Regions from separate parts of the Mus musculus genome. Here region 2 is reported to be linked to region 1. Evidence: microRNA targets listed by miRTarBase, many of them from high-throughput screens and not tested one by one. Region 1 holds a microRNA gene; the other region holds the end of a gene's coding sequence.
Evidence for each region. Region 1 holds the annotated microRNA mmu-miR-302d-3p (UAAGUGCUUCCAUGUUUGAGUGU, at 2,344-2,366, shown strand). A microRNA usually pairs through its seed, bases 2 to 8, with sites in the 3' UTR of a target mRNA and lowers its output. Matches are read on the target gene's strand: a 7mer-m8 pairs with bases 2 to 8, a 7mer-A1 pairs with bases 2 to 7 and ends in A, and an 8mer does both.

Region 2: miRTarBase lists Zfp568 as a target of mmu-miR-302d-3p. Seed matches in the 3' UTR shown: 7mer-m8 at 2,070-2,076.

The regions. Positions count from the first base shown.
Region 1 is chr3:127,543,322-127,548,321 of GRCm38, forward strand. Mir302d (microRNA 302d) reads left to right here and starts at 2,303; the gene lies at 2,303-2,368. Larp7 (La ribonucleoprotein domain family, member 7) reads right to left here. Exons shown (of 13, transcript NM_138593.2): 2 at 4,041-4,225; 3 at 3,769-3,869; 4 at 3,600-3,683; 5 at 3,333-3,497; 6 at 3,155-3,248; 7 at 2,726-3,082; 8 at 2,505-2,649; 9 at 833-957. The coding sequence starts at 4,224. Gm51018 (predicted gene, 51018) reads left to right here and starts at 1,768. Exons shown (of 2, transcript NR_146435.1): 1 at 1,768-1,825; 2 at 3,313-3,582. It overlaps Mir302b (microRNA 302b), which reads left to right and starts at 1,907; the gene lies at 1,907-1,980. It also overlaps Mir302c, Mir302a and Mir367.
Region 2 is chr7:30,022,961-30,027,960 of GRCm38, forward strand. It overlaps Zfp568 (zinc finger protein 568), which reads left to right. Exons shown (of 10, transcript NM_001167872.1): 10 at 1-5,000. The coding sequence ends at 687. Among named protein-coding and RNA genes, the nearest start is that of Zfp14, 26 kb to the right of the region's middle.

The DNA of each region.
Region 1 (5,000 bases):
ACATGGCACAAAAGGCATTATACCTCTAAACCAAAGAATAAAGCCTTAATAAAGATGTATGCCTATATGAACATAAGACTATTCAAAGTATTCTATTCTTTTTTTTTTTTTTTTTTGGTTTTTCGGGACAGGGTTTCTCTGTATAGCCCTGGCTGTCCTGGAACTCACTTTGTAGACCAGGCTGGCCTTGAACTCAGAAATCCGCCTGCCTCTGTCTCCCCAGTGCTGGGATCAAAGGCATGAGCCACCACTGCCTGGCTTCAACAATTTCATTTTTTAAAAAATTTGTTTATTTATTTTATTTATGAGGACGCTGCAGCTGTCTTCAGACACTCCAGGATAGGGTATCAGATCCCACCATGTGGTTGCTAGGACTTGAACTCAGGACCTCTGGAAGAGCAGTCAGTGTGCTTAACCACTGAGCCATTTCTCCAGCCACAAAGTATACTGTTCAAATATGAGAATTTGTATAATTTGCAAGAACTTAAAACCTTTACTAATATTACAATGAACGAGAGTAGTGCTCTAATATGCTCCTGCTTGCTGAACATCATCCACTAAGCCTGCAGTCTTTATTTCTCTCTCCAGGCACTCACAAGTGAGCTCGCAGGTAAGTAGAGAAGAATAAACAGACTATTAAAACCTAGTGTGTAATACAAAACTTCACATTTTTACTTTTCTTAAAACATTTTGTTTTTGGAAATGGTTCAGCTTAAAACTGAGGAAGCCACTCTATCACTGCAATAAAACTGCCCCTGAAACCATTCATAGACTAAAGCCCACTCTTCCATTACATGAGCGTCACCCTCTCCGTTCCCCACTGCACACTTACTAGGCGCTTTACAGTCTGTTTCCATTTCTGATTCCAATTTGATTTGAGATATTGTTTTTTTTAGAGAAGCCATGCTAGCTTTTTGCAGTGCCAAATACTCTTTCTTCAAATCCATCCATTCAGTCCTGAAAAACAAAAATTGAGCCATTACAGTGATAAGACGACCCAACTAGAAATCTGAAGTTGATCTAAACACAATGTTCATAGGAACTGCAAGTCTTTCTGACTTTTCTTTCTTTTAAGGCATATGTTTACATTATTTGTTAAGCCATTTGTTAAAGCTACCTAGCAAACACACAAAGGAAGTTTCTTTGTCTTAACAGGCAAGGAAAATGCTTGAGTTTCCTGGTTGCTTCTAATATTTAATTGTAAAATCACTTTTGAGTCACTTCTATTAAGTAAAATCACTAAATCAGGCAACCTGGAGAAAAAGTAAGAGACTAAAACTTAAAGATTTCTCAAATTGCTTCCAATTTGAGAGCTAACATTCCTTAGGATTTACTTGAATCAAAAGGAATTTCTAAGAAGAAAAAAACACCCCATGGAAGCAATTTATTTATTTACATACATTTAACATGTAGATGTATCTTCAAACAGCTAGGGCTCCTCCAGAGAAGCACAATGCATCTCCTGGCTCTGTGGGAGCGCTCATTGTTACCCTAATCTGTGCCATCAAACGGGCAGATAGGAGATTTTTTTTAAAGAGGAGGATATCTTGTGGTAATGGTTTTAGCAGTTAACATTGACATCTGTTTACTTCAAAAAAGGAAAAAAAAAAAAAAAATCCAGACCTACCCAGGTCCCCAGGACCTACTTTCCCCAGAGCTGATACATTAAAATAACAAAGGGTCTTGTAATGATTCTCAGAGATAGAAAGCCAAAAGGAACTCAGGAGTTAGGAGTAGTATAAATACAAGTGGTCTAAAGTCGGCGTCTTTCACCCTCCGAGGACAGAACAGGACTCTTTGGGAGGCGGTCACGAAGGTAAAGGAGGTAAAGCTTATGTCTGTAACCGGGTCACTTTACTTTCCTGTGGGTTTGCTCTTCTGTTTTAACTAGTTGCCTTGTGGGTGGGTTCCCTTCAACTTTAACATGGGAATGCTTTCTGTCTCATCGAAGAGTAAGTGCTTCCATGTTTTAGTAGAAGTGAATTCAAGAAACTCTGGAATAAGAAAGCTAGCCTTTTAATTCAGAGTCTGATGGGAGTCCCCTCTGCTTTAACATGGGGTTACCTGCTGTGTTAAACAAAAGCAAGTGCTTCCATGTTTCAGTGGGGGTGTCTTAAACTGTTCAACATTTTCTCTAAGATGCTGTAGGTTAAGGGAGTTATTGACTGGGCTTCCCACCACTTAAACGTGGTTGTACTTGCTTTAGACCTAAGAAAGTAAGTGCTTCCATGTTTTGGTGATGGTATGTTTTCCTTTATATTCATGCCTTTGTAAAGACCACTCAAGTCTGCTTAAGGGGCCTCCTTTACTTTAACATGGAGGCACTTGCTGTGCATTTAAAAATAAGTGCTTCCATGTTTGAGTGTGGTGGCTCCTACTTAATCTTCATTGTGCTGCATATAGATAGACCAAGGCCGTCACTGTTGCTAACATGCAACTCTGTTGAATAGAAATTGGAATTGCACTTTAGCAATGGTGATGGACCTGTGTCAGTGGCCACTTACTTGGACAGCACTCTCAATGGTATAACCTCCTCGCCCATCTTATGTCTCTCCTTGTGTTTCTTCTTATGCTTCCTCTTCACCTTTGAGAGTGAGTCACCTTTTCTGTCTGTCTCCTTCTCCTCCTCAGTAGAGCAGAATTCTAAGTCTAGAAAAAAGATTTCCGTAAGTCCGTTGTTGTGGTTAAACTGGTTAAAACATTTGTAACCCTACTGCCACGGTACCTCTGCTCTCCTTGGAGACCTCGGAAGCTGCTTGGCCGACGCCATCCTTCTGAGCCCTTTTCTTAGCTTTTGGCCTTGGGGGGAGGCAGTCTTCGTCCTCGGCGCTGCACCTCTCCCTCTTCCCTGCCCTGGCTTCAGGTAAGCTGGATGCTTCCACCTTGTCCCGCTTCTTCTTTTTCTTTGCAGGTTGCTTTGGAGCTTCCGGGGTTTCTGCTTCGGAGCCCTCAGAGGCCGTCCTTGGTCTCTTCGTGGCTTTACACACGCCCGAGCTGCTGCTGTCCACGGCCGACTCTTTGGCCTGCACACTCTCTTCCTTCTTTATTCTGCCTTTTTTCTTTTTCTTCTTTTTCTTCTCTTCTGTAACAAGATTTTATTATTTACAGTCATAATAGTTTATTGTTTACTTGGCCACTCTAAGTAAGCACTCACCTGCTACTCGTAAGGAAGGGATGGGCTTGTTTTTCACTGTCTTGGGAAATATACCAGGCTTTCTAGGTGCTTCTTCTGGTGGGTTGTTCAGAAACTGAAAAGATTGATTGCAGAATTTGTTACTCTTGTTAACCCTGTGCTTTTTCTTTACTTTTCAGGGTCCCACAGAAGTACGTACCTCAATGGCTTTTGCTGCTTGCTCTTTTGTTTCAAATTCCACAAAGGCAAATCCCTTAGGATCCCCAGTAGACTTGTAATGTGGAATACTTATGTAAACCACATTGCCACATTTCCCAAATACTCTCTCAATCCAGCTATGAGTAACATTTTTGGGGAGCAACTCCTGTAATAAATCATGGTATGAACATTTTAAAGTTCCTACATTTTTACCAATAAATGAATTATAAATAAATGAACTAGAATTAAAATTTGTGTCATTTCTTACCACATATACCGTGCGTTCCTCCTCGTCCTTTGGTCTCTCACCTAGGGGTTTTTTCCTCCTGATTCTGGTCCCTTCTAAGTCCAACTTTATGAGGGGGGAAAAAAAAAGGAAAGCTAAATAAAGTCAGTAGTTAATTGGATGTGGGTGACTTGAAATGTAAGTTTTTTACCTCTACAACAGATGAGCTTTTCAATGCTCTGGCTATTAGCTTCCCATCAGTTGTCAGCTTCTTCATTTTGTTAAAAGACACCAGGAGAGAAATGTCCACATCTAGTAAATAGGATAGTGGGATGTTAAACACTGGAATATATACATGTGTGCAAACAAGCACGAGTTCAACATGCAGTTGTGTGTCATGAACATATACAGTACTGAGCTCTCAGGAGGCTCTGGCCCCATATAAATGTGAGTTGGAAATTCCAACAAAGACAAAAAACTTACATCCATCTCTAGACTTTTCAATTTGCTCTCGCAGAAACTTGTCCTTGTGAAGGTTTGCATCTCCAAACCAGAAGTCCACCTGCTTAGCAATATCTGCAAGCACCTGTTTAACCCGGGAGCGCTTCTTTTTTTCTTCTTTTCTCTTAGTGCTTTCTTCCATAGTTTTTTGGTTTTCAGTTTCCATTCTGAGAGGGGAAAAAACAAAAATGCCAAACTGTAAAGTGCCTAAATGCCCCTGTCACCTGAACCTTCCTGCTGCAGGAATTCCTGCTGCAGGACGCCATCTCACTGACATCAGTAAGGATGTTTTTAAAGCTGGTCTGTCAGGCAAGTGCAAATTCTGTAGTAAATTCAAGTAGTAAAACCTCTACCTCAAAAGATGGCCTAGTCAGCCACCACTGGAAAGAGAGGCCCTTTGGACTTGTAAACTTTATATGCCCCAGTACAGGGGAACGCCAAGGCCAAAAAGGGGGAGTGGGTGGGTAGGGGATTGGGGGGGTGGGTATGGGGGACTTTTGGGATAGCATTGGAAATGTAAACGAGGAAAATACCTAATTAAAAAAAAGAGGAAAAAAAAACCCTCTACCTGATAATTACTAATTAAGTACATTGTAGCCCTATGGGGGGGGGGGGAGGGCTGGAGAGATGAACTGCTCCTGAGTTCAATTCCCAGCAACCACATGGTGCCTCACAACCATCTATAATCTGTAAGGGGATCTGCCGCCCTCTTCTGGCGTGTCTGAAGACAGCTACAGTGTACTTGTCTTTAAAAAATAGGTGAATACTGGATCTCATCTCAGGTTTTCAACTCACCGTATCCTTCCAGGCTTTCATTCCTACCATTTAAGCGGAACCCCAATGAGCTCAGTGTTTGCCTAATGCCAACAGTTACCTGACCTCTTCATCTGGCTTTAAGTTTGCCTTTTCTGGATCCTTCCAGAAAAGGGACACTTCCAACTG
Region 2 (5,000 bases), not on the chromosome of region 1:
GAGAAGCCTCACAAGTGTAAGGAGTGCGGGAAGGCCTTCCGCTACGACACACAGCTCAGCCTGCACCTGCTCACGCATGCTGGGGCACGGCGCTTTGAGTGTAAGGACTGTGACAAGGTGTATAGCTGTGCCTCCCAGCTCGCTCTCCACCAGATGTCACACACTGGGGAGAAGCCCCACAAGTGTAAGGAGTGTGGGAAAGGCTTCATCTCTGACTCACACCTTCTTCGCCATCAGAGTGTTCACACTGGCGAGACGCCCTATAAGTGTAAGGAGTGTGGCAAAGGCTTCCGTCGTGGTTCAGAACTTGCCCGGCATCAGAGAGCCCATTCTGGCGATAAACCCTACAAGTGTAAGGAATGTGGAAAGTCCTTCACTTGCACCACAGAGCTCTTTAGACATCAGAAAGTTCACACTGGTGATAGACCCCACAAATGTAAGGAGTGTGGGAAGGCCTTCATCCGAAGATCAGAGCTGACACATCATGAAAGAAGCCACAGCGGTGAGAAACCCTATGAGTGCAAAGAGTGTGGAAAGACCTTCGGCCGAGGCTCAGAGCTCAGTCGACACCAGAAAATCCACACCGGTGAGAAGCCCTATAAGTGCCAGCAATGTGGGAAGGCCTTTATTCGTGGCTCTCACCTTACCCAACATCAGAGGATTCATACAGGACGGAGGAGTGAATGAGTTGCCATCAGAAAATCCATACAGTTTAAAAACCCTGTGGTGGATAACAATGTGGGAAGACAACGAGATACAGGGTTTCTCATTGGTGCTAGAATTCATACTCAAAAGACCCGTTAGGTCCAGAAGTGATGGAACACGTGTTACAAGAAAGAAACCTTATAACTCCAGAAATTGGAGGGGGCTACTTGTTTCAGAATTTATCATAAGGCTTTTGTTGATGAAAAACTCTTAAGTTCCATGAATGTAAAGGAAGGAGGAATGCCTCTCAGTGGCCTGGAGCCAAACAAGCAGGCCTCGGGATTCATAGCAGGGACAAGCTGAGGAGGGCAGTGTGTGTGTCCGAGAGATTAGCAGTTGGAACCTTTCCACACCCACACCCGGGCCAGCCCTCCGAGGAGAGAAGTCAGTCGTTATACTGCATAATCTCTGTGATACCTCAGGCTGCACTTCTGCTAAAACACAGCACACTCGCCATTCATCCCACTCTACGCTCATGGAATGTTTGCTACTTTATAAAGCCATTTGGACTGCGGAGTGTGGAAAGGACATGCTAACTTTTTACATGTCCTCATGATTCAGGGCAGGTTATTTACCAACTATTCTTTTCTTCTGTGGGGTAGCAGTGTTAGCCCCGTGTTTCTAGTTACGCTTTGAGGTTGTGTGTAGATTGTGGAATAGCATCCAGCTAGTATCTAAAGTGTGCCAAGTGCAGCAGGCATGCTGTTCCACGCAATATGAGCATCTGAAGCCAAAGGTAGGAGGGAGGATCACAAGTTGAGGCTAGCTTGGAGACTCTCTAGTAAAACAAACAAACAAACAAAAATTATAACAAATATAGCTGCTTTCTTTGTTATTTTCATAATAGTGAACTTTTACATAAACTTTAACAGTCTTAAAGAGGAAAGCCTTATATGTCCAGTAACTGGAGGGACATCTTGCCTTGTCCCTTTGACTGTTACAGAATTCTTATGAAGAAAGACTTAAAGCTTTCGTTCTTAGTTTACCCTTCTGCTGGTCAGAAGCGTCAGAACTGGAATGTGGTGAGGTCAGTATGAGAAGGGGCTGGAGGAATTGCTAAAGCCTCTGAGTGAGGAGTGGTGCTACACACAGCCTGTAATCCCAGCCCTCGGGAGGGGAGCACAGGACAGGGATTCAAGTCCATCCTGGTCTACCTAGTTAGTTAGGGGGTAGCCTGGACAACATGTGTTGCAGTCTCAGAACTTTCATAAGCAAAAGCCATGCCATGGATCTGTGCACTAGAGAACTGGAAAACAGTAAAGCTTTAGCTAAGACCCAAGCCTCCATAGAGAGTGTTAAATGCCTATATAAAGACATCTATATCTAAAGGTCCAATAGGTGTGGTAGCGCATACCTTTTATCCCAGCACTTGGGAGGCAGAGGCAGGCAGATTTCTGAGTTCGAAGCCAGCTAGGGCTATATAGAGAAACCCTGTCTTGAAAAACCAAAAAAGAAATTTGTACACTGTGACTGAAACTATACTCTGAGAAAAATGACCTTCCCTTCATCTTTGTAAACAGTGGGGGTTGGAAGGTCTAGGACTCTGTATTTATTGTTTATACAGTACTGTTACAGTGCCTAGTCCTGGTAATTCCCAGTGAGTATTCTAAGTAACAGAAGAGCAAATAACTACTCAGCTCCAACAGAAAAGAAACTAACAAAATTCAACTTGGCAAAACTAAACCTTGGAATAGGTGAGACGCACACAGTGTTGTACAGGAGATGAGGCTCTTATGAAACAAGGCTTGAATGAGCAGAGCATAGGTTCTACCTGTCGACAGATGTTAGCCATGCTCCTGCAGTGTTATGGCCCTGTGATTGGTTCTGGCTGTGCCCTTGGTCTCATGTGTGACTGACTGGGCAGTAGACCATCATGGGCTTAGTAACAAGATCCAGGGGCATGGTCTTCCCGGCTGCAGGGAGCACATCTGTGCCACCAGGTGGTGCCTGCTTTCTGAGGCTGAGACTGCCATAGAACACACATTGTCACCGACATTGTGGTGTCATGGAACCATGACCTCGCCTTCTCCTGGACCTACAGAATAAGAAATGCAGACACTGAAAATTAATACTCAACTCTTTACAGTATACATAACACTGAGAAATTTAGCATTTAAAAATATTTTTACTCAGATGTATTCAGCTTCAGGAACATATTTTATGTTTGTATTCTGCCTTTTATAGTATATCTGACAATGAAAAGCATTATTTTCCAAATTATTTTCTTAGCCATATTATTGAAATATATATTCAACTTCAATTTAGTAAGATGTAGTATATTTTCTTAGAGTATTTGATAGTGTGTTTTTATATTCTGCTTTTATAGTGTATCTTAAATCCTAGAAAAGTATTTTCCTGAATGAAGTTAGAGCCAAGGAGAAGCTGCTTAAGGAACTACACTCGTTCCCCTAACACTGAGCCACTTGACAGCTGAGACACCTTCTACCTCTTCAATGTGGAAAAGGGCGGCAGCATCTAAAGTCACGTCGGTTAGTTGCCAGTCCACGGCCTTAGAGGACTTTGTGATTACAGCAGCGTGTAGTATCAGCAGCCCAGTAATTGAGCGGTGTGGTGCTTTGTGCAAAGGACTTTGGTTGAAGTGCTAATGAGTGAGTGAGAGAGGACTCTGCAGTCACTGGAGACTAGCAGAGCCTGCTGTGAAGGTCCTTGTCCTTCCTCTTGGTCTGCTCTCTCCTGGAGCTCATCTGCCCCGCCCTGCCCATCATCTCAATGAGGAGGGAAAGCTGCTAATTACTAAACAGGCTCCGGCAGAGCAGTTGTGACAGAGGTCAGGCAGCATGTGGGCATGGGTGCAACTTGTGTGGAGGCCAGGCCAGCGGTCAGGCTAAGGGGTCCTGCCTCAGGAGCCTTTGGCTTCAGTTTTCTGATGCAGGGTCTCACAGGAGCTGGGATTTACCAATTAGGCTCAGCTAACTGGCCAGTGAACCCCAGGGATCCACTTGCCTGTCTCCGTAGCACTGAATTAAACGCAGGTGCACACATCACCTGGCTTTATTTTCGTGTGGGTTTTGGGGGTGTTTGGAGGTCAGGCCCTCGGCTTGCACAGCAGGTGCCTTACTGACTGGTCCAGCATCCCACTGGCCAAAGACTTTTTAAAAGGCAGAAATGATAACTGAGTTTTAATCTGCACTGGTATATTAATAAACCTATATAGAAATTTTAACTATTCTTCTAAGAGGAGAACTTGCACATTTTATAGGAATTAAATAAATAGAAGTTTTTTAGAGGGTGCTTTTAGTACTGATTTCAGACTTGGAAGGATAGCTTTTTAATGTTCTGCTCCTATATACATATTTGTTAGACTTGACGGTCCTCTGACGAGTGTATGCATCAGGATGCACCTCAAACCAAAAATATCCTACAGGGGTTTATTTAGAGAATGACATGTGTACACTGTTAAGTGCTGATAGTGGATGCTGCAATTCCGCTCTCTGGTTGAGATGCACACGCAAGCTTAGACATCTTGGTAACGGGTTGGGTGAGGAAGAGTGTATTGAGTGGGATTGTGCGCACACAGGGATGCAGGCTCCTTTCCTCACGTGGTAATGTCCTAAGGGGGGTGTTCTCGTCACTACTCACCGCTCTAACGATCTCACCATAGACAAGCCATGTGTGTGCAGCCTCTTCTTCCCAGCAAATGTTAGCTTCACCATCAGCAATGTGAGTTCGGGACACAAGCATTACCTCAGGTTGCTGCCTGTTTCTATAGGGCAGCTACTTTCCTGCCTTAGCATAGTAGAATTAAAATGTACTTGGTGCTTTATTGTTTCCATGTGGAGCTCACCGCCATCTCAGCAGGAACCAGTGTGTGTTTCTCAACTGTGTTAGCCAGGGCTGAAAATGTGCCTTCTGTTTGCACTTCCTCGACTGCTAGGGAGGTGGAGCATCTCCCTGGCCTGCAGGTCATTTGAGCTTTGTTTCTGTGAATTGTACATTGCTATCCGTCTCACTTTGTAGCACACCTAGGAGATCATATTACACATGGGCAATTTGTTGTCTTCATCTAGAATATGTCATTTGCCCTTTTTCTGTCAAAATACTTAGCCAGTGTTGTTTTATGAAGGGCCAGACCGAGTATTTCAGGTTGGGCTTTTATGCAGCCTTTGCTGCGTAGAAGCCTCCTGTATACGCCAGTGGTCCTCAGCCACTTCTGCCACATCCCCAGGAGGCATTTGCCAATGTCCACAGGCATTTTTTTGTCACTTTAAAATGACTGCTGCTTATGTCTAGTGGGCAGAGGCCAGAGAGGCTTCTCAGTGTCCTGGGGTGCACAG